Linked DNA regions of Drosophila melanogaster. The protein of the gene in region 1 interacts with the protein of each later gene in a pairwise test. Each region holds a gene or a part of one and is shown in the gene's direction. Other genes may lie near its edges. The genes, in order: barc, wal, GstD1 and Not10.

Region 1 (5,644 bases):
TGCAGTGGAAAGGTTTCTCCGGCTCGCGGACAGCTCCCCCTACGCCAACGGCAGCGTTGCCCTCTCCGGGATGCTCGCTATGTCCATTGGCCAGGTAATGCTCACTGTGGATCGTTGTCGGACTATGCGTGGTCAGGTGCGTCAGATGTGAAGTTGGTGGCGGCGGTTGCTGTTGTTCCGCCGCAGCAGCTTGGGCTGCTGCAGCTTGGGCAGCTGCCATAGCCGCTGCTTGGGCGGCACTATGCGCCTCCGCCGAGATCCCGCTTAAGTGCATCTGGAAGGGCAAGGGGAGTTCCGTGGGTGGCGGCGGCACAGAGGGTGGTCCGCTCGACTGCTGTTGCTGCTGCTGATGATGTTGCTGCTGCTGTTGCTGTTGTTGTTGCTGCTGCTGTTGAACCGCCGCCATGTGAGCCGGATGCGTGGCCTGGGTGACCGTCTCATTGTTATTATTGTTTGCTATGGTGGTTTGGGGCTGGGCGGCCACTATGACAATGTCGCAGTTACTGCTCATCGCCGTAGCAGCGGCATGGGCATGGGGCAGGCTTTTGATATGCATCATGGACTGCTCTTGCTGGGATTAGGTAGTCTGGATTCGGGATTCGAAGCTGGATTTGAATCTGGTGGAATAGTGGAGGGAGACTGCGGTACCTCGGTGACTTGAACAGAAAGCTGGCTAACAAACTAAGATCGATGCTTCAAAAATGCCACGACATGCTCATCTTGGGCGCTTCTCTGATGTTGTTGCTGCTAGTGCCTGTGTTTGGAGAAGGGAGATTGGGATTAGTTGAGTCGGCGGCTTGGCTTTTTGGTATGCAAAAATATGTGAGGAATTCCCAAAACATACGAAATACCTAACTGCGAAATTATAAATCTAAATTATTCAATAGCTGACACACTTTGATAGCTGGGCTCCCGGCTCCAGCTCCACTTCCTCCCCTTGAAGCCCCCTTTCCATATGGTTCCTATGGTTCTTTGTGTGCCCTTATTAGTGAAACGCATTGAAGCCCATTTTGTGTCCTAACTAGCATATTACTCCTTCGTCTCCTTTAGGCAAGCCTCTCTACATAAATAAGTATTTGGAACTACACGGCTTACATATCCATACATGTTTGTAAGGAGGTAACTGGCTTACTTTACGGTGTGAAACTATGTTTTAAATCATTCAGGTATAATGATTAACGTATTAAGCGTTCAAAGCAATATTCTTGCGAGAGTAAATATTTTCGGGCTTTATAACATTTATTAAAGAGCCATACTAATATTAAACTCACAAACAAACTGTGATGAGTAATTTTTAAATAAGATCCATAACGGATGACCGAATCCTTAAAAGATTTTTATGACTTCGATGGTATGAAAACTTCGAATATACGTCAAAGAGCATAAATTATTAAACATACGATTGATTATGCATTTTGAAACAAAATAAAACGCGCGCTGCTTGCATGCATGTAACTTTTAATATATTTTTTGAACGCTGGTTTTTACGTTCGCCGGACAAGTTACCTGACCCGCCCCCTGCTCACCCACCAGACAAGATAGACACTGAGGCCAACACAACACGCACACACATGGAGCACTCAGGTATCTCTCTTTTTGTGTTGAATTGACAGCGTGTTACTTTCTCGCCAAATTACATGTGTTTTTCTGGCAACTTAAGAACTTAGTGATAACTTTACCAATTGGATAACAATCTCAACGGAGGCGAGATCGACAGGATTCCGAACTGACCTTTTTTGGGCGGGCTTTTTGGGGGATATTTTCCCCTTTTTTCAAAAGCAGTTTTTCCACTAACACGTTGCCTCTAGATCGCCCCTCGCGCTCCCTTCTTCAGCTAAAAGTCACAACCACTTTCAGTCGCACACACGTATGGACATCACTAGCGCACACACGTACACGTACTGTGTAAAAGCTCTTTTGAGGTTAGGATACTTTTAATTTTGGAGCTCTCCGCTCGAAAATGTCCATTGTTTTTCACACGTCTATAAACGCTATTTTTGCCAAATGATTCCAGACGGAATTGGGTATACTGAGTGACACACTTGAACTCTTTTCGGGCGCCCACACATTGACCTACCTTTCCATTTTGTGGCTGTGCTGTGTGGGGCCTTTCAGGTTTAGATTTCCCCCGTTTTACATCATTTTTCGCACTCGATTCGGTTTTTTGGGGGATATGGGCCTTTCGGAGGGTGTTCGCGTATTGCTCTCGCCTATCAGAATCGGGTCCTCACAGCATTATCTGTGGCTGGTTCTTCATTTATAAAAAGCGTATAAACGTTAGAAAAATAGTACAAATATTTCTTTTCTTTTTTTTACTGTTTCGCGTACAAAATAGACGCGAATGAACTAGTGCCAATTGGGGATGGGCGATAGCTATGGGGGACCTGTTACTGATCACGAGTGTGAAGGAATCACGATGACTGCCCCGAACTCAATGGGAAAGTTGGTATAAGAGATCAAATTTGGGAAAATTCTCAGATTTATTTAGGCCAGCACATCTTTATAATTATTTTTTTTCCCACCATATTAATATAAAATCATTTTCTAATGTGACTTCTCGTGAATATCGAATTGCCATCTCTATGCTAAATGAGCTAGTTCCACTGAAGTCATTCACATAGGAATATGTAAGTTTTCTTTCGTTTTTGAGAGGTTTTCCTCCCGCCACAGTACGGTCACACTGCCCGGTGCAGAACTTTTGTATAGGAATTTCGTTTGCATTATTTTTTATTAAATTGTACTTAAAGACCAAATGCAATTGCTCAGAAAAGTGCAGGTGCAAGTTTTATAAAATCGTGCAGACCCGCGAAGCCTGCGACTGATCACCATGTGCCTGCCCATTGGTTAAACTCAGCTCGCTGTTAACTTTGTTTGTGTTTTTGTTGTGACTTCCAGCCGGCGGACGCAGTTCATCTATTTGGAAGGTAAGCAGAATTTAGGTAAGTATATACTGAAGGACTATACTGAAAGGTACCTTCGATCCTGACCGCTTTTTCGTTACGGCACGAGAGCCTGTCCATCACCTGCTTCACGAATCCCTTAGCATCTTCCTCCTTCTGCTGGGCCACAGCTTGAATATGGGAATTTGCCCTCAGTTGCATGGCCCGAATGTCATCCTGCATCGCCTTCTTACTGCGCTCCACCACTGCATCTAGAGGGTCTTCAAAGGTAGTGCTTGGCTCGAAGATGTTGCCATTACCATTGCCATGTCCTGCAGAATTGTGGTTTGAGTTTACAGAGGCCGTTGTTCGTTCATCCTCCTCGTTGGAACCCAACGTTGTGGTGGTCTTTGGTGCCCCCTCTTTGAAGGACAAGTCATCCTCGCCGCGAGGTGTGGAACATGGCGTGGTCTGTGGATCAGCCTCCCTCGCCGCTTTTATCTGAAACAATGAGGAGATGTTTTCCTTGGCGCCCAGTACTTCAGTAGAGATCTTGCTGGTCACCGAATCCATAGCCCTGCCCATCGAATCTTTTGTTTCCGAGGCTGCTTTGACCGCATTACTGCCCGCCTGCTCCACTGCATGCATTGCACTACTTCCTACTTGTTCCACTGCGTGCATTGCATCGCTGGCCAACCGATGGGCACCTTTACCCGCCGCTCCTACTGCTCCTCCCACGGTATCCACGGCTCCTCGAGCTCCAGTAGCCATTCGCTCGCCTACAGCTTCCATGGCATCACGAGCTCCATTTGCTGCATTTTTTACCGCTGTTTGAATCGAGTTACGAGTGGAGTCCATGACATCTATCGCGTCTTCGCCGACTTTGGACACCGCCTCCTCAGAGCTCGTCACAATTTTGTCAACTTGCTCCTCACCACGCTGCATTTTTTGCTCTCCATCTGATTCCAGATCCTCCACGGAGCTCTCCAGTGGTGTATCTGGCATTTGTTCCTCTACCCTGGACGTCACATCCACTCCGTCGTTTATGAACCGTATTTCGTTGATCACTTTGCTGCTGTCCGTTGAGTCCTTCGTTGTGGTTATTTCCACGGCCAGGTGCTCATCGTCTTCCGTGGGCGGTGTTGGTGTGTTCACGTGAATTTTGGCCGTAGGTACTTCCTCCACTGTGTCCAGACTAGAGACCAGTTCGGGAGAAGTCCTCTCCAGATGGTCATGGTCCATGGCAGACTCGTATGAAAAGTTTCGTATAGGCGTCTTTTTTATTGTCTGCGGTGTGCTAGAATTACTGCTCTCGGGATAAGGCGTGCGTGGGCGTAAAAGTGTTTCCTGGCTGCCAGGCACTTTCGGCTTGGGATCAACTAATTCCATATCGTGTGCGGATTTATTCGACCTTAAAGATTCTGTGGGGGAGTTGGGAGGGGTTGGTGTATGTGTAGGAGGAGTGGGTAGCTTCTGCATCGATTCCGTAGGCTTCACAGGAGATGAGCTTGATTTTATTGAAGATTCAATGGTTTTAGCTGGTGAGCGTTTTGTTTTCACAGGGGAAACGATTGGTTTTAGTGATGATTCTTTTGTATCCGCTGTTATAACGGGGGACTCTATAGTTGCCGATGGCTTCATCTCTTTATATCCATCATTTGTTTTGATTGCTTCACTTGTGGCAGCTGTGTTCGGACTGTGAACTGATTTCTCTTGATCTGCTGCGCTTTCATTTTTGTTTCCGGGTGTAACCCGATCTGCAATTTGATTATCTTCCTCTTTTTCAGAAATATTTGAGTTTGGACCTATTTCATCACTACCCTTTGCTTCCTTGTGTTCTTTAGGTATAATGTCTGCACTTTCGATATTTGCATTCAAGTCTTGGTAACGAGTTAAATCTGACTTCTCTTCTGGTTTCTCACCATTAATTAAATGTTTCACTGCCTCCATGGCCGCCGCTGTTCCGGCTCCTGCTGCAGCTGCCAATTCTCCCACAGTAGTCGACATTGATAGATCCTCAGTTTCCTCCATGCCCTCTTGTTTGATAAGGCTTCTTCCGCTGTGTGTCCTTGTATCCTCTTTGTTTCCATTGGCATCAGTCGGCTGCAACACAAAACTACGGTTCACGTAGCGATTTGGTTCAGCTGATCCATTTACAGATGCAGACGACATCGAGGAACGCGGTATGCCCTGCACCAGGACGTGTTGATCCCCCACTGCGATGTCCAATAGTCGCAGGTTTTTAAACTTGGAAATTTCACGGAAGGTCTTCAAATGATGGCCGCTCTCCGAGAACGTAGTAAAGAACTTGTTGGCCTTGCTGAGAACCGCATAGAACGAGAATCCTTTAAGGAGCTTCCAGATGGGTCCGTTTTCCTCGCAGTCGTAGTCATAGAAACGTTGGAAGACCAGACTCTTGTTCCGCAGCGACTCGAAGCTGCGATAGATGCTGCCCGCATTTGTAACAATGTACACCTCGCTGGTCTTGGAAATGTGCATAAAGATGATGGCCTCGGTGGGCGGCAGATTTTTCTGCAGCTCAGTGAAGCGCGGAAAGACGAACTCATTGAGGTGACCGGTGAGAAAGAGGTTCCCGGTGGCAGTCAAAACTAGCGTGGACTCCGGCCCGCAGGTAAACTGCTGCACCGGTGCATCAAGACGAATCTCTACCGGATGACCATCGTAGTCTGCCTCTAGTTCTCCTAACTGCAGCTGGGCATTGGAGCCACAACCGATCAAACGACCAGTGGCTTTAAAAGAGAAAT
Region 2 (5,236 bases), on another chromosome or scaffold:
GGCATGACTAAGCTCCGTGCTCCGTAAGTGATTTGTTTGCCCGGCTCCCGACTGGCAGACAGCCTCAAGCTCGGGCTCAACTCAAAGGCCAAAAAAACTGACTGGCTGACTGGCTGGCTGACTGATTGAGTGTGTGCGCGCCCACATCGGTGCGCCAACTGGCTGTTAAAGGGTTAAATAGAGTATTTCTCTTTTTTGAGGCACTTGGCTGTGAGCACATTTCACCGCTTTGGCCATGTTTGCTGTGTGCTTGCCGGCTGATAGGAATCTTTGGAGGCAGTGCAGCCAGGGATTAGGATACGTGGTAATTGCGGGTGCCCCCTTTGATACGATTTGTTTGCATATTTTGCGGACCTAATTGCGTGGACAGATATGCATCTGAATCTGCATTGTCGACGGGAAAGCGTTTCCCACGGCAGCGTGCGCCCAAAGATCATGATGTGTGGGATGAATTGTCAGCACTCACCATTATCCGCGTTCCTTTCAAGGAAGTCAGTCACGAAAGCACAGAATCTGCAATGACATAGGAAAGAGATGGATCATTACATGAATTGGTAATATCTTGGATTGAATAACAAATTAGAATTTCTTTTCATTTCATTCCAAAAACAAAGCAAAATTAAAATAATGCATATTGCAAAACCACATTTATGCGAGCATTAAAACGATCCAACTAACGATATTAATAATATTATTAATATTGTAATTATTAGGAACATTGCCTACAATATAGTTCTTATAATAAGAAGATGAAGACTTATCCAAACCATGTTCCAAAATTACAACATTTTCGAACCAGAGCTAATAAATTTTCCTATTAATAGTTGCTTAAATTCATAATTACCTTTGGGCTAGCTTATGCGAGGGTGTCTGTTTTCCGGGGATCATCAGCTTCTGGTGGAGCACATCGTGGTTGGTTATGGCACTTGGGTGGTAGTATCGATTCGTGTTGGTCAAATCGATGATGAGACCCATATCGGGTACGATCTGCAGAAGGGATTCGGGCGCCAGCCGAAGATTCTCCTTCACTTTGGCGTTGACATGCTGCAAAAGATAAAAAAAAAGAAGGGAGCTGAGCAAATATACGAGGGCATTACAATGGGCGGCCATAGATTGCTCAATTTATGCAAAATGCCCGGAGGGCTGGCAATTAATAAAGGCCGTGGATCCGTGGCGTTATTTAATTAAGCAAAAACAATTTAATTTAATATTCATGTGGGGTCCATGTTCCAGTTGCCACTTTTATGCATAATTACAATGCACAAATTTCGTCGTCGTTCGTTGTTATTTATATTTTTAGAGGGCCGCTCAGTCGGTGGTCCAGATCCTGGGTTTTCAACATCCATCAATTGGCGGCTCTCCTGTCAACCGGTTTCTTGGATCTCGGATGGAGTGTGGTACGCCACTGGGCGGGCGGAGGATCATCGGGAACTCACCTGATTCAGCGGCACCTTAAAGGCTATGAAACGAGTGCCAGGAACACGATCTCCAATCGGTTTGTACTTCAGCCATCTGCAATTGGTACAAAAAGTAACATGAAAAAATGACCAGCATAAACAACACGGGTTTCTTTGGGATATTCTCCTAAACTGCACTCACCTGTCTGGTATGTCCTTGACCATTTTGTCTGTTCGCCAAACCTTTTACCGAAATTTAAAAATAAAATTTCGAAGTTCTTCAAAATTGTTGACAATGTTTTGCAAAGAAATAATTCTTATTCCAGTGTTGCCAGATTACTTTAAGAGATTACTCAACATATGCTGCTGAGTTGACACTGTTAGCTAAACTGTGACTGGTCACGATTATTTTTAAAACTCTCGCTCATTCGCTCTTTAACTGAAGTAATAACATTTATAATCTATATTTAATGTTTCTATTTAATAATAAATGTAATTTTTTTAATACTTCATTCTTCATTAAGCTCTTTTACAAATTTATGACTAGTAATATTAATCGGCTTGCATATTTTTTTAAATGGATAATAAAATTAAATTAAATAAGTCCATTAATCAATAATTCCAAGATTATATTTTATATATGTTCATTTTTTCACTTAAGTTCCTGCTGCTTAAAGTTCACATAGATCTGTTGCTCCATCTGTTAAGTAACAGCTGTTGTGTATTGGCTAGGAGGTACCAAAAAACGGCAAACGCTTAAATCAGCGGAAACCTTTGGACTTTCTGTGATTTTACAGCGAAGGTAAGAGTTTTAATTAAATATTAATGGACTTAAATTAATCAAACAACAATTTTCCCTCGCGTGGATAGCTCCAATAACCATCCAACATCCAAAATGTTCGCCAGCAACACGCGTAATCTTATGCGCAGCAGCATTGTGAGTGGAAATTTCTTAAAAAGATAAAAAAAAAGCGCAGGCGGTGATCGCTAAAAATTAAATAACAAAATATCAATTTTCCCACTTGCAGTTGCAGCGATGCAAGAGCACTTTGGTGGTGGCTGAGCACAACAATGAGGTACTCAATCCGATCACCCTGAACACCATCTCTGCGGCCAAGAAGATCGGTGGTGACGTCACAGTTCTGGTGGCAGGCACAAAATGCGGACCCGTAAGTCCCCCAAGAAGTCTCACATTAGGGTGGTTCCATTCGCAGGGATTTCGAATCATCAACGAATCTAATCAAATAGGCTGAACATGCATCCTAAGACCTTTGCGATCTGGTAGAAATCAAACCGGCACAGGATTATATAAACATATCTCATTAGAAAACAAGACTTTTGAGTTGTTGGTAATACTGCATCTAAGAGATAGGAATTGTTAACCTTGATTATATACTTCTGACTATAAGTACACTTTAAAAAGGGTCCAATCTATTTTCCACTTAACTCTTGCTACATTCCAGTTTTCCAATTTTCATACTAGATTAAAACTAACTAAAAATTTAGAAAAAAATGTTTTGATTTTGGATTGGTGAACCCTTACTTAGATACAATATATAGTAACCATATTTCAAAAATGCCGAGCAAAGTGATTTCAATAGATGACCATTTTAAAATACCAAGACATTTAAATTATAAAGCATCGAACCACCCAAGAGCGACTCCCACTGATCATAAGTATTTGGTGCGATAGATAATCTTACATAATCACTCTCTTGTTTTCCAGGCTTCCGAGGCTCTTTCCAAGGTGGATGGCGTGACCAAGGTTCTGGTGGCCGAAAATGCCGCCTTCAACGGATTTACCGCGGAGTCGCTGACCCCATTGGTCCTGGCCGCCCAGTCTCAGTTCAAGTTCACCCACATCCTGGCCGGAGCTTCGGCTTTCGGCAAAAACGTGCTGCCACGCGTGGCGGCCAAGCTGGATGTGTCGCCCATTTCGGAGATCATCGATGTTAAGTCGGACGACACCTTTGTGCGCACTATCTACGCCGGAAATGCTATCCTCACCCTGAAATCCAAGGACGCCGTTAAGGTGATCACCGTAAGGAGCACCAATTTCCCACCGGCAGCCACCAGCGGTGGAAGTGGAGCCGTGGAGCAGGCACCAGCTGGTGACTTCGCCAGCAGCCTGTCCGAATTTGTATCCCAGGAGCTGACCAAGTCCGATCGCCCCGAGCTGGCCGGAGCCAAGGTTATTGTGTCCGGAGGACGGGGCCTGAAGTCCGGAGATAACTTCAAGCTGCTGTATGATCTGGCCGATAAGTTTGGTGCCGCTGTGGGTGCCTCTCGTGCTGCCGTGGATGCTGGATTTGTGCCCAATGATCTGCAGATCGGTCAGACCGGCAAGATTGTGGCTCCCGAGCTGTACATCGCTGTCGGAATCTCAGGCGCCATCCAGCACTTGGCTGGCATGAAGGACTCCAAGACGATTGTGGCCATCAACAAGGATCCCGAAGCGCCCATCTTCCAGGTCGCCGATATTGGCATCGTGGCAGATCTTTTCAAGGCCGTGCCCGAACTAACCGGAAAGTTGTAAGGCGAGATTGTCACTTGCTGTAGTATAAAGATTGTGTACCGATGAATTGATAACTGTTGCATTTATTTGAATTTTGACATAAGTCCGTGGAAGATTTTCCCTTAAATTTTGTAATAAAACAAGCCGAAGACCTATTCTATGTGAAAATTGTAGTCTTATCAGTTGAGTGCAACTGTTTAAATCAGCAAAATATTTAAAAAAGGCCCAGGGCTAGCAATAACCAAAATTCAACTAGGATAAACTGTTTACTGGCATTGCAGATTGCACCTAGTCTAGGATTTGGTTTCCTTATCAGTTTCCCATCGTATATTTATTTTTCAAGAAGCTTTTATGAGAGCTTTATTAATTAAATTAGTTATACTAGAAAGCTGATCAAGCCAAAACAAATTGTAGCTAAAAGCATCAAAAAGCTTTCTCGCCAATTGCGAACTTTTTTAAAAAGTGTGAAAATGTGAAAACTGTGTACAAAAAAAGATTATAGATCAAATCAATAGGATTTTTACGCTTAATAAACAAAATGTTTAGGAATTCGTAAATCGTTGGTATATTTTTGGTACAATCAAGTTAAATATAAATCGCAGAATCATAAAAACTAGAATTAGGCCAAAAACTACGCCTATAACCAAAGTGGTCCACTCTAAAGGATTCAGGCTGTTGGTAGTGGGTAAAACGTGTGTGTTGATGCCACTCTAAAATGGAAAATCATTGAAATGAAACCTCGACAATTATGAAATGATCGGAGAAACTCACCCAACCACCATTCTCGTTAATCCACGGAACCAGCTCATCTTCGATCACCTCGGAAACGCTCTCCATCAACTTGGGCAAGTATTCCGGATGTCCTTGGCGTACACAATCAACGGACAGCCCACCGGCGATGGCGAACAGAGAGATCACCTTGCTCCACGTAATCTCCACCCGGAAGAGCTCGCGACCAACGGCTCCCAAAAGCAAGCTCACAGCATCCGGAGTATGGAACTCACCACCCGGATTCCGGCAAATCTGACGAGCTACTCCGTTGTATATCCGGGGATGCATGCGCTCCAGTTCATCGCCCAGCTTGGGCAAAGGTGTGTAAAATGATTAATATAATAAAATAAAGCGTTATTTTTTGCTTACCACTTGGACCGCTGGAAACACATCGCGCACAATGCCCATGGAGGTGGAGCCCAGTATGCTACGTATGCGCTGCAGTCCCAGCTTTTTGTTGAACAAACCAGATCTTCTGAGGCGTCTCTTGATATAATGACCGCACAGGCAACGACCCTTCGGTTTTTTTATGATTTTTGGAATCAGGCGATAT
Region 3 (4,612 bases), on another chromosome or scaffold:
TATGGTAATCATATTATATTATATGTTTATATATAAATATATCGATATTTTAATTTCTGTTTTTATAGTGCTCCGAGCAAAATAATTAAAACAAAGAGGATTCATTAAATCAAATGCATACGAAGGTTTTTTAAATGTTAAAAATCAAACTTCAATAAGAACAAGAGAAAACAAGTGGAAGAACAGGAAAAATTTTCAACATTTTTTGTTGACATTTCGAAAAATATGTTCAAAAGTATGTTCAAGCCGTCATATGGAAGTAAGAGTACATGTGGACACACCCCAGATCTTCATAAATTTAATAATAATAATTTATTACTTTTTTATATATCAATCTAAACTTGAACATATTCAGTTTTATGGTATAATATGTATTCTAAAGCGGAGATCGGAGAAAGATCAGCGCAGCTGTACACAAAGCGAATCACCGGCAAACGGAATCGAGAAAGTAGATGTATGTAGGCTAAATGTGCTCATATGGGAGGCCGGCAGAAGATCTCGATGATGTGGAGGTAAGAGATTATTGGGGCTCTTCGTCCTATCCATTCTCTTTGGCTTTGCTCTTTAAATAGTTTGCGCTTTTCACTTTATTTTCCTGTGACGCACATTTGGCAATGCCGTCCAACTGGTTTTTTTGATCTGCAGTGGCAAACACAGTGACCTTTCTCTACATTTTACGCTACCTTTTGGGCCGGCTTTTTGGTGAATTAACCCAACCAGTTATTGGCGAACTTATACTTACGATCTCGTGTTTCCCATGATTCAGCTGGATTTCGGCATTATGTTCAAATGAGTAACTCTCGGAACTTGGGGTTCGGAATTTTTGATTTCACAATCGTTTTGTGGATTGTTCTCGACGTTAAGAGCGCAATTTGTTTGACGTGTCGCCCACGAAAATGCTCTTTCCATTTTTTCCTACTTGTTATTGAATTTTTTTGCCCGGTCATGCTGATAGTTGGTATTGCGAATTGTGAAACTGATAAAAGCGAATTTGTTTTGGGGAAATTAAATACCCCCAGCGAAGTGTAGCAGGAATATTCAAGTGTTCGCCTTTGATAGTATCAAATACTTCCAAGAAATGAAAGTCTAGTATTCCTTTTCATGTTATATGGTCACAGCAATTACTTATTAAAACCCAAGGCCGTCATAACAAACACAAACAATAAAAGTCGATCGATATATGGACTAAGCCCATCCATATTGTTACATTGAAAATGTGTACCAGTAATTTCGAATTTGCATGTGCCTTTGACTCATCATTTAATCTACTACTATTTGTCTACCATAGCTTGGGCTTACCCATTAAAATTATTACTATGAGTCAAAGTATATTGAATAATTCGAAAAACGGTTATATTTTTATGGTCTTATTAGTACGGTATGAGCCTTTCGCGATTTGCTTGTGTGTTGGAAATACTCGACAACTGTTGCTATATATGTACATATGTACATACATACATATATGTTTGCCTGATATCAATGTTTGCCGGCCGGCTTGAATTCTTATCTGGTTTCTGTTTGCCTGCTTATTTGTTTGTACTTATTTTTTTTTGCATTTTAAAAGAATTTATGTTTTTTCAGGCGCACAGATGTTCATTAGAAATGCAAAATTGTGTTTCAAGCTAATCGATTGCATGCTTATGTGTTTGCTAATCTTAGCAAGTCGATGTGTAAATACCCTACGATTAATAATACCTGTATGGCAGGATTGTATCTTCTTTGTTATCTGTTTGTTAAAATCAGAAATTATAAAGAAATGTAACAAAATTTGTTCTTAAGCGAGTAAAAGGCTTCGTTCCAATGGAGGATCATTAGAAAGTTGCAGCTTTCTTTTGCGGGGGTATGGTGGAGGTGTATGAGGGAACGGATAGAGTGCAACCTCCTCCAGAGCACGCACACACACACTATCAATCGTCTCCACACACCCATGGCCACACAACAGTGTATTAATCACGCCGCTAACGTCACATTTTTGCCCGCCATTAGTGGGTATGTGTGGGCAAGTCAGAATATAATAGAAGACAAAAAAAAAACCCAGGCACGACAACAACTAGCAGCCCCCTCTCTCTCTCTCTGTACCTCTCTCCCCACCTTGCCACGCCCCGCGGGGCGCTTCAAGCTACAACTCTTGTTTGCCGGCATTGTGGCGACCACAGCCGGCCCCTATAAAAGTGGGCTCGCTCTTCGAATTCCGTTCAGTGCTACTTTTCATTTGATACAGTGTACATCGCGAGTTTCACAACAGAAGAAAAAAATGTAAGTTCCCCACAGCAATTTCTATATATATTGTGTTTTGTGATTGTGTGCCTGTGTTTGGTCAAAAATAAAAGGAAATATTGGCAGCATGGAAAATTACCAACATTTGAACGTATTATAGCCCCGATATGACATCATAGCCAAGTGAACTTCTGTAATGGCGGCCCAATTAAAGTCCGCTTTTGCTGAACTTGTAATTATAGAGCGCGTCTAATTGTGGCATATCTTTCTAGCATCCAGATCTATTCTGTTTGCATGCCATATGGATAATGTGTATAATACAGAAGCAATTTGGGTCTCAAGAAGGGGGAGATTGTTAATTTAAATATGAATGCGACGCTTGTGGATATGCTTGAAAAAGTTTGGTGCTCACATCTAAATTTGAAAAGAAGTTGGAGATTTGTTCACTCCAATCAAATATGGCGGACTCACAATTGTTTTCAGTTTCTTTTCAACTTGATTCTTCTTCCATTTAAAACCCAAATTAGAAATACAAATGAATGCCCTAAGCTTTTAAATAACCGTTGGTTAGAAATTAGCGAAGATAATAATATTTCTTAACAAGTTGGCTACAAATTATTTATTGCGAGCACTGTAACTAAATGATAGTTCTTCGAACTTCTACAGTAAAATGGTTGACTTCTACTACCTGCCCGGCTCCTCCCCCTGCCGCTCCGTGATCATGACCGCCAAGGCCGTGGGCGTCGAGCTGAACAAGAAGCTGCTCAACCTGCAGGCCGGTGAGCACCTGAAGCCGGAGTTCCTGAAGATCAATCCCCAGCACACCATTCCCACGCTGGTGGACAACGGATTCGCGCTGTGGGAGTCCCGCGCCATCCAGGTGTATTTGGTGGAGAAGTACGGCAAGACCGACTCCCTGTACCCTAAGTGCCCCAAGAAGCGCGCCGTGATCAATCAGCGCCTGTACTTCGACATGGGAACGCTGTACCAGAGCTTCGCCAACTACTACTACCCACAGGTGTTCGCCAAGGCGCCCGCCGATCCAGAGGCCTTCAAGAAGATCGAGGCCGCCTTCGAGTTCCTGAACACCTTCCTGGAGGGACAGGACTACGCCGCCGGTGACTCCCTTACCGTAGCCGACATTGCCCTGGTGGCAACCGTGTCCACATTCGAGGTGGCCAAATTCGAGATCAGCAAGTACGCCAATGTGAACAGGTGGTACGAGAACGCCAAGAAGGTGACTCCCGGATGGGAGGAGAACTGGGCCGGATGCCTGGAGTTCAAGAAGTACTTCGAATAAGCCTGATATTCACGTTTTTATACCCGTACATATGATGTAGTATTTATATTCACGTTCACAAACAACAATTCCAAATTCGCCTGTCTCCAAAGACAATAAATAAGTGTTCTTTTTTTTGAATGCACAAAATACAAATGAGTTTGTTTTTAGATGGGTGTACATTTACATATATTACTATGTGTATGTGGATAGTGGATATTGTGGATAGGGACTGCAATTGAATAAGTGGGCTCTCTTGATGCTCGTTATTTTCTCTTTGATGCCAGGGGTGATTCTCTTTCCTCTTTTGCTAAATCTCTCCGAATCGAGAGGCAAACAAAAAAAGATAATAAAAGATAGAATATTTTCGCGATGCTCGTTAGTTTTATGTGGTGAAGGCCTCAAAAAAGAAGCTTGAAAATCTGTAAGGAAAAAGTGAGAAATTATCAGACTTAAATTCATTGGTGAAATAGATTAGAAACTTAGAGTGAATTTCGTTTTGGTTCTGAAATTTTCATCAGAAAGGCAGCTCTTGTAATTTCTTGTTCTTCAAAAAGCTTTTAACGGTAGATAACAAAGTGGAAAATTACCAAGTTAAATTATTCATTTAAAAGGAAGCAAATCTCGACATATTTTATATATTATGGGCACCATTTTTAATAAAAACACAGTTTGTAGATATTTATGTTATTTTTCTGAGAGAATGTTTAACTGTCTCAATAAGCTTTTATCAAAATGGGTGCATTATGTGCATTCCAAGGTGCATTAACGACCATGTTTTCTCAATAATTTTTTTTTGTGTCTTGCGCCACCAATAACTTTAACTTTAGTTTTAAAAACAAAATATGATCTGAAATGTAAACATCTGAGCGGGTAGAGTCGATATATCACGAAATTCTAAGAAAAATATCCAATGCAATTTGATACAATTATACAAACAAACAAACATTCCAATGAAAGCTGTCTCGTTAAGTCTAATCTAGCCATCGTTGAAGGGAACAACAGTATATAAGGACAATTTGACGTAAACTAATTCAGTATGATTTTACAGCTCAGCGAGTAATCATGTTGGACTTCTACTATATGCTCTACTCGGCACCTTGCCGTTCCATCCTG
Region 4 (5,907 bases), on another chromosome or scaffold:
GCACCACTATGATGGTTGAGTCCGATGGAACCGCCGACGCCACCCGCCGCCTAAACGTGAAGAAGCAAACACTGGACGATGCGTACGCCGTGCCCGCCAACTTCCTGGAGATCGACGTGGTCAATCCGCTGACCACCATGGCGGCGGGCAAGAAGCGCTACACGGACTACGAGGTCCGGATGCGGGTGAGTGATCGTAGTACATGTACATGGGGGCACCACCTATGCACCTTCCAAAATTCACCGAAAAAACCATTGATAATCGCTGGAATTCGCTCACACACTTGTGTGCATGTGTTCGTGCGACTTTGTCTCGCTGTGCATGTGTGTGTGCGTGCGTGTGTGTGTGTGTGTGTGTGTGTGAGTGCGGGTGATACGCCTATAAAGCGAGCCGGCCGATAAACATTAGTCACAAGTGCAGAGCACTGATTCCAGTGTCACGGCTTGAGTCACGGAAATGCGGCATGCGGGTGCCTTTATGCGGCACCGACCTTTCATTGAATTACTCTATAAGATTGGCCACCACATATGATTAACCATCGCTCCTTTTTTAGACCAATCTGCCCGTCTTTAAGGTAAAGGAGTCCAGTGTCAGGCGACGCTACAGCGACTTTGAGTGGCTGCGAAACGAGCTGGAGCGGGATAGCAAGGTACGGACAAGTGTGATCCAGGCGGTAGTCTTTCGTTTTCACTTTAATAGATTCAAAATCCGCACTATTCAGAATCTATTTAGATAGAATTACGAAACAATACATTGTAATTATAAGAAGCCACTAGAAAAGTTTCAATCCTTAAGAGGAAACTTAACCCTGAGTTTTATAAGTGAAAACGGAAACTTCGATAAGCGCCTGAAGAGTATTTAATCATGAACATACATATCCCCGCAGATTGTGGTGCCACCACTCCCAGGAAAGGCATGGAAGCGGCAGATGCCCTTCCGCGGCGACGAGGGCATCTTTGACGAAAGCTTCATCGAGGAGCGGCGCAAGGGACTGGAGGCCTTCATCAACAAGATAGCCGGACATCCGCTGGCGCAGAACGAGCGCTGCCTGCATATGTTCCTGCAGGAGAATGTCATAGATAAGAACTACGTGCCCGGCAAGATTCGGAACACATAAGCAGCTTAGTCCGGCGCAATCGAAACCCCCTAACCATAGCAATGCAATGAAGCAAAAACTCGAACGAACAAACCTGCTACGAAATCTTTATGGGAAGCCGTGTGAATGTGTGTGCTTGCCCGGATTGGAGGAGGATGGAGCAGATGAGCGATGATGTAGGTTGGTGGAGAAGGGATCTGTTATGCGACGCGATACGAGGCGGGAAGTGCTGCTGCTCAGTTAATGTTGAGCCCCTCTCAGCCCCCGGGGATTAGTTAAAAACCAGCATTGGGAATTTTTAATGCTAAATTCAAGTTTATATGGTATACATAACAATATACATACACATATATATATATTATACACAATACACATATTTACGAATAGTGTACATAAGACATGCCTACTACGCCCTCGCTAAATGAGTCTCGAAAGTAGGAGCTGCCCCTCCCATTTTCCCGATCCTCAGTTTCTTCGTTTTGAACCATTGCAGCGGTAATGAAGCAGCAAATAAAATAAGGGAGCCATCCTGACCCCAAAATCGATCCCTTGTAAGTGTATGCAAATTATTGAATATTTTGAAACAGTTTAGTGAATAATATTGTACTTCGAATCAAATTAAAATAATTCAAAAATATTGAACTGCTGATATTATTTGAATGTGCTTGAAAATGATGCGCAACTGAAGATTAAGTTGAGTTTTGTATAAAATATTAGCCTTTTTCCTAGCCAATTCTGCGGGATGGAAGTTTGTTCTTCAACTGGTCGATGTTGAATCTATGTAGTTCCCATCATATAAACCAGGCGAGGATTAATAACAATATGATGAAACAGGAAACTTCGATTGAATGCAAGGATAATTACAGTTGGGTGGGTAGGTGGATCAAAAATTGTAAACGATAAATGGATATTTTATTATTCTAAATATTATATATCATCACAAACAAAAGTCTCAGTTGAAATAAAGGTATAGGTTTCGCGCGCTGCAAATCTAGACTAGTGATGTGCTGCCACCTATCGACAGCAAAATGCCAATTTGACCATTGTAAAGTTAAAATTTTATATAGAATATATTTTAATTTGTTCATATTAACAATTTAATTTTTAATTAATAAATTAACAAGAAATTTAACAAGTTGTTTAATGTTAAGAATTAACTTATTTATTAATAAGGTTAACCGCTTTAGTTACGGTTAAAAGTGGCAACGCTGTGCTTGTTGATTCTGGCAACGCTGTGTCATCTGTGGATTGGTTCGGTTTTTTTGTTTTTATTTATTTTTGGCATGGACTCGGCGGAATCCCCCACCAAAACGCAGGCCGGCGAGGACGAGAACTACAGTCTGCTGTGCCAGGCGCACGAGCAGTTCAACAAGTGAGTGTTCATCCGCGTGTCACCGGGAAGTGCACCCATAACCGCCACTCCTTTCCGGCTGCTCCTCATTCTAGCTCGGAGTTTGATCGCTGCTTGGAACTGCTCCAGGAGTTGGAGACGCGCGGCGAGAGCAGTGGTCCTGTCCTGCGGCACAACCGGGCGGTGGTCAGCTACTACAAAACCGGGTGCACCCAACACTCCGTCCTGCTGAAAGAACTGGAGGCTCTAACCGCCGATGCAGATGCGCCCGGAGACGTGTCCAGCGGGCTGAGCCTTAAGCAGGGAGCTGCCGCCGCCACTGTTGCTCGTTACAACCGGGCGGTCATCTATTATCACCGCCATATGTTCGGCACGGCACTGGAGAAACTAGCACCACTAGTGGCTCGTCTGGAAGCCCTGGAGAAGGCAATGGCAGCGCTGGTGGCCACACTACAGCTACAGCTGCTGCTGGCCACCAATCAACTAAACCGAGCCGAGGCCTTTCTGGATTACTTGCAGTACAAGCTTAACCTGGTGGCCACAGCGCCTAGCAGCAATGCGGCCGAAGAGGCAGCTGTTGTCGGCACAGCACCTCCGTCAGCAGCGACGAACAGTTCAGTGGTGGCCTCACCAGGAGGAGCAGCTGTGGAGGGAGCTGTGCCCGGTCTGGGCGGTAGTCTGCAGCTCTTGCAGCTAATAACGCTCGTGCTTAACCGAAAACCGGTGGTTATTCAGGAAGACGGCACGCCGGAGTACGCTGCTCTGAAGGCTCAGCAGTACTACATCATGAAGGATTTTCAGATGGCCGCCAAGCAGCTTATGCGAATCAATAACGAGTGTACACAAGCGGGGTGAGTCTGCTTCATTTTAAGTTCAAAGAAGACATACTATTTTATTGTCTATCTTAATAGCACTATAACCCCCCAGCTGAGCACGTGCATTGCCAACAATATGGGAGTGATACACTTAAGAGTGCGTCACTATGCCATCGCCGCCAAGTTCTTCCAAAATGCGCTCAACTTTGACCAGCAGCTGGCGCGAAATTTGCGCCAGAGTACGCTGCAAACCATGAGTTCGGCACGGTCCTGCGAGATCCTTTACAACCTCGGTGTGGCCATGTTGCACCTACGACGCCCCAAGGAGGCGTTTCAGTGCTTTCTGGTTCCCGTTAAGCAATTCCACAGCAATCCACGTCTTTGGCTGCGCATGGCTGAGGCCTGCATCATGGAGCATGAGGCGGTAAGACAACTTTACACTAACATGTTCTAGTACAATAGAGTCACAATAGGGTATTTATTTGTCTTAAATCTCAAATTATTTTATTTTGTTTTAAAGAAACTAGTGGAGGAGGAGCGCCAGTCGCAGTCAGAAACGCCATCAACAAAGCCATACGCGTAAGTGCTAATTCGTTAGCTTAGTTCATTGCTGGTAGTAAACTTTTCCTAATTTTAGTCCTCAATCGGCGGGAGTTCCAGAGCCCACGCTGGAATTCGCTGTCTTGTGTCTACGTAGCGCGTTAACGCTTACGCAGCACTACAAGACGAGGTTTCACATGGCGGCGGTCTCCTCGGAGGATGTGGAAGCACCCGAACCCAAGGACCCAACTCAGGAGAGTTGGCGTCATCCCCAGGACAATAACTTCTGCAATCCCTCGAAGCCAGTCAGCCTAGAGTCTTTGGAAAACATGATGGCTGCCATATATGCTGCTCACAGCTTCGTCTCGCTGCGCCTAGGCGATCATGTGACCGCGCTCGAGATGTCGGAAAAACTGCTGGCCTGTGAACGCTTGTCCGATGCACACAAGTACAATACAGTTTCTATTTAATCTTCCCATGTTTGGTTTAACATATTTACCTTTTTTTCTTCAGATTGCTAGGTCACATGTACGCTGGCGAGGCGTTGATGCTTATGGACAAGGCCAGCGAGGCACGCGACCATTTGGACCCTACTTTTGTGGGCACACTAAACGCCTTCGATTTTGAGACGCGTGACTGGCAACTGAAGTCGGTGGACGCCGCTCAGAACGTTGTGCGGTATAATCTGGCCGTTGCCATGGCTCTACAGAACGACCTGCCTCAAGCTAAAGCACTCCTGGCCAATTTAACTCATTCGCTGGTTGCCAACAAGGCGCTTGCTTTGCGACGCTTCATGGACCTCAAAATGGGTCCCGTTCCTGGCGGGACGCCGAGTTAGACAACAAATTGTGTATATAACTAGACGGAATTAAAGTGCAAGAATGAAATGACGAGGAAGCGAACTATTTGTTTGACGATCATCAGTTTTTCAGCATTTTACAGGGTGCAAACAAGGTGTATAAAACAATGTCTGTTAACTAATCCATATGTGCTTATATATTTGTACACAGAGAATTGGTGTTGGCAATAGCAAATTATCTCACAATATTTTACGTTGAACTTTTGCATACTCCAGTCATTGAGACTTTTTCATAGGAATTCTACAAATTAGATTACCCTCTACGTTAAAGCGTTGGACACTTAAATTTTAAGTATCTATCTCAGGAATTTTAAAAGTTGGGTCAGAATTATTTTGACTTGTGCAAGTTACTCTTACTCGAAATGCCGTATAAAACGCTTGTCATTCTGAGTGTCTGTACTCAAATAGTCAATGGAATAACTTCTGTAAGTGCTTTTTAGTCGATAATTATAGCTATAGGCAAGTGCTACGCTCTCTTTTCCAAGGCCGAAATCATAGCCTCGCACAACTATCCGGTGGAAATTCACACAGTGGTCACACGAGATGGGTATTTACTCAACGCGTTCCGCATACCGAACTCAATCTATTGCGAGCAATCTGGAACAAAGCCGGCGGTTCTCTTCCAGCACGGAATGACCGCCTCCTCGGATGTTTTCCTAGTGAATGGACCTCGGGATGCATTGCCATTCATGTTGGCCGACGCCTGCTTTGACGTTTGGCTGAGTAACTCGCGGGGCACTCGGTATTCCCGACGCCACGTGTCTTTGGATCCCTCCGATGAGGACTTCTGGCGCTTCAGCTGGCACGAGATTGGAACGGAGGACGTGGCCGCTTTCATTGACTACATTCTGGGCACCACAAATCAAAGTGCGGTGCACTACGTGGGTCACTCACAGGGATGCACCACGCTGGTGGTGCTACTCAGCATGCGTCCGGAGTATAACCAGTTTGTGAAGACCGCAATCCTCTTAGGTCCGCCCGTCTTTATGGGGCACACACACACGCTGGGACAAATTTTTCTCAGGACGCTCATAATGTCTATGCCCGACTGCGAATTTATGTTCCACAACCGGATTTTGAATAAAATACTGAGGAGAATTTGTGGGCTTTTCGTTGTGAGGGTGTACTGTTCGACCTTTTTTATGATCGTCAACGGAAAATTTTCAGATCACTTGAACACAGTGAGTATCAAAGTCGAATGGTCAAAATATATATTGTATTTATTCTGAACATTAACATTTCCAGA

Evidence for each region.
Region 2: the proteins of barc (region 1) and wal interact in a two-hybrid assay, tested with the Drosophila melanogaster proteins (one large-scale study listed by BioGRID).
Region 3: the proteins of barc (region 1) and GstD1 interact in a two-hybrid assay, tested with the Drosophila melanogaster proteins (one large-scale study listed by BioGRID).
Region 4: the proteins of barc (region 1) and Not10 interact in a two-hybrid assay, tested with the Drosophila melanogaster proteins (one large-scale study listed by BioGRID).

What each region holds. Positions count from the first base shown.
Region 1 is NT_037436.4:21,430,135-21,435,778, reverse strand, and holds the start of barc (barricade), read left to right. Parts: upstream 1-2,644; 5' UTR 2,645-2,785; coding exon of another isoform or gene 2,786-2,913; 5' UTR 2,914-2,924; exon of another isoform or gene 2,925-2,939; intron 2,940-2,974; coding exon of another isoform or gene 2,975-5,629; intron 5,630-5,644. Other genes in the region: Aef1 (adult enhancer factor 1), read right to left, coding at 1-559; CG33288 (uncharacterized protein), read right to left, coding at 2,786-2,913, 2,975-5,629.
Region 2 is NT_033778.4:11,687,776-11,693,011, reverse strand, and holds wal (walrus), read left to right. Parts: upstream 1-2,148; 5' UTR 2,149-2,199; intron 2,200-2,267; 5' UTR 2,268-2,292; coding exon 2,293-2,334; intron 2,335-2,425; coding exon 2,426-2,566; intron 2,567-3,123; coding exon 3,124-3,933; 3' UTR 3,934-4,443; downstream 4,444-5,236. Other genes in the region: CG13197 (uncharacterized protein), read right to left, coding at 467-513, 845-1,044, 1,437-1,512, 1,600-1,622; buffy, read right to left, coding at 4,455-4,622, 4,684-4,992, 5,053-5,199.
Region 3 is NT_033777.3:12,366,847-12,371,458, reverse strand, and holds GstD1 (glutathione S transferase D1), read left to right. Parts: upstream 1-2,190; 5' UTR 2,191-2,256; intron 2,257-2,865; exon of another isoform or gene 2,866-2,883; 5' UTR 2,884-2,887; coding exon 2,888-3,517; 3' UTR 3,518-3,642; downstream 3,643-4,612. Other genes in the region: GstD9 (glutathione S transferase D9), read left to right, coding at 4,562-4,612. UniProt on the Drosophila melanogaster protein: Conjugation of reduced glutathione to a wide number of exogenous and endogenous hydrophobic electrophiles. Has DDT dehydrochlorinase activity. May be involved in detoxification.
Region 4 is NT_033777.3:12,628,336-12,634,242, forward strand, and holds Not10 (CCR4-NOT transcription complex subunit 10), read left to right. Parts: upstream 1-2,311; 5' UTR 2,312-2,379; coding exon 2,380-2,468; intron 2,469-2,542; coding exon 2,543-3,298; intron 3,299-3,358; coding exon 3,359-3,686; intron 3,687-3,782; coding exon 3,783-3,841; intron 3,842-3,899; coding exon 3,900-4,250; intron 4,251-4,315; coding exon 4,316-4,640; 3' UTR 4,641-4,853; downstream 4,854-5,907. Other genes in the region: Snx3 (sorting nexin 3), read left to right, coding at 9-185, 554-649, 887-1,117; CG18530 (uncharacterized protein), read left to right, coding at 5,024-5,086, 5,147-5,842, 5,907-5,907. UniProt on the Drosophila melanogaster protein: Component of the CCR4-NOT complex which is one of the major cellular mRNA deadenylases and is linked to various cellular processes including bulk mRNA degradation, miRNA-mediated repression, translational repression during translational initiation and general transcription regulation.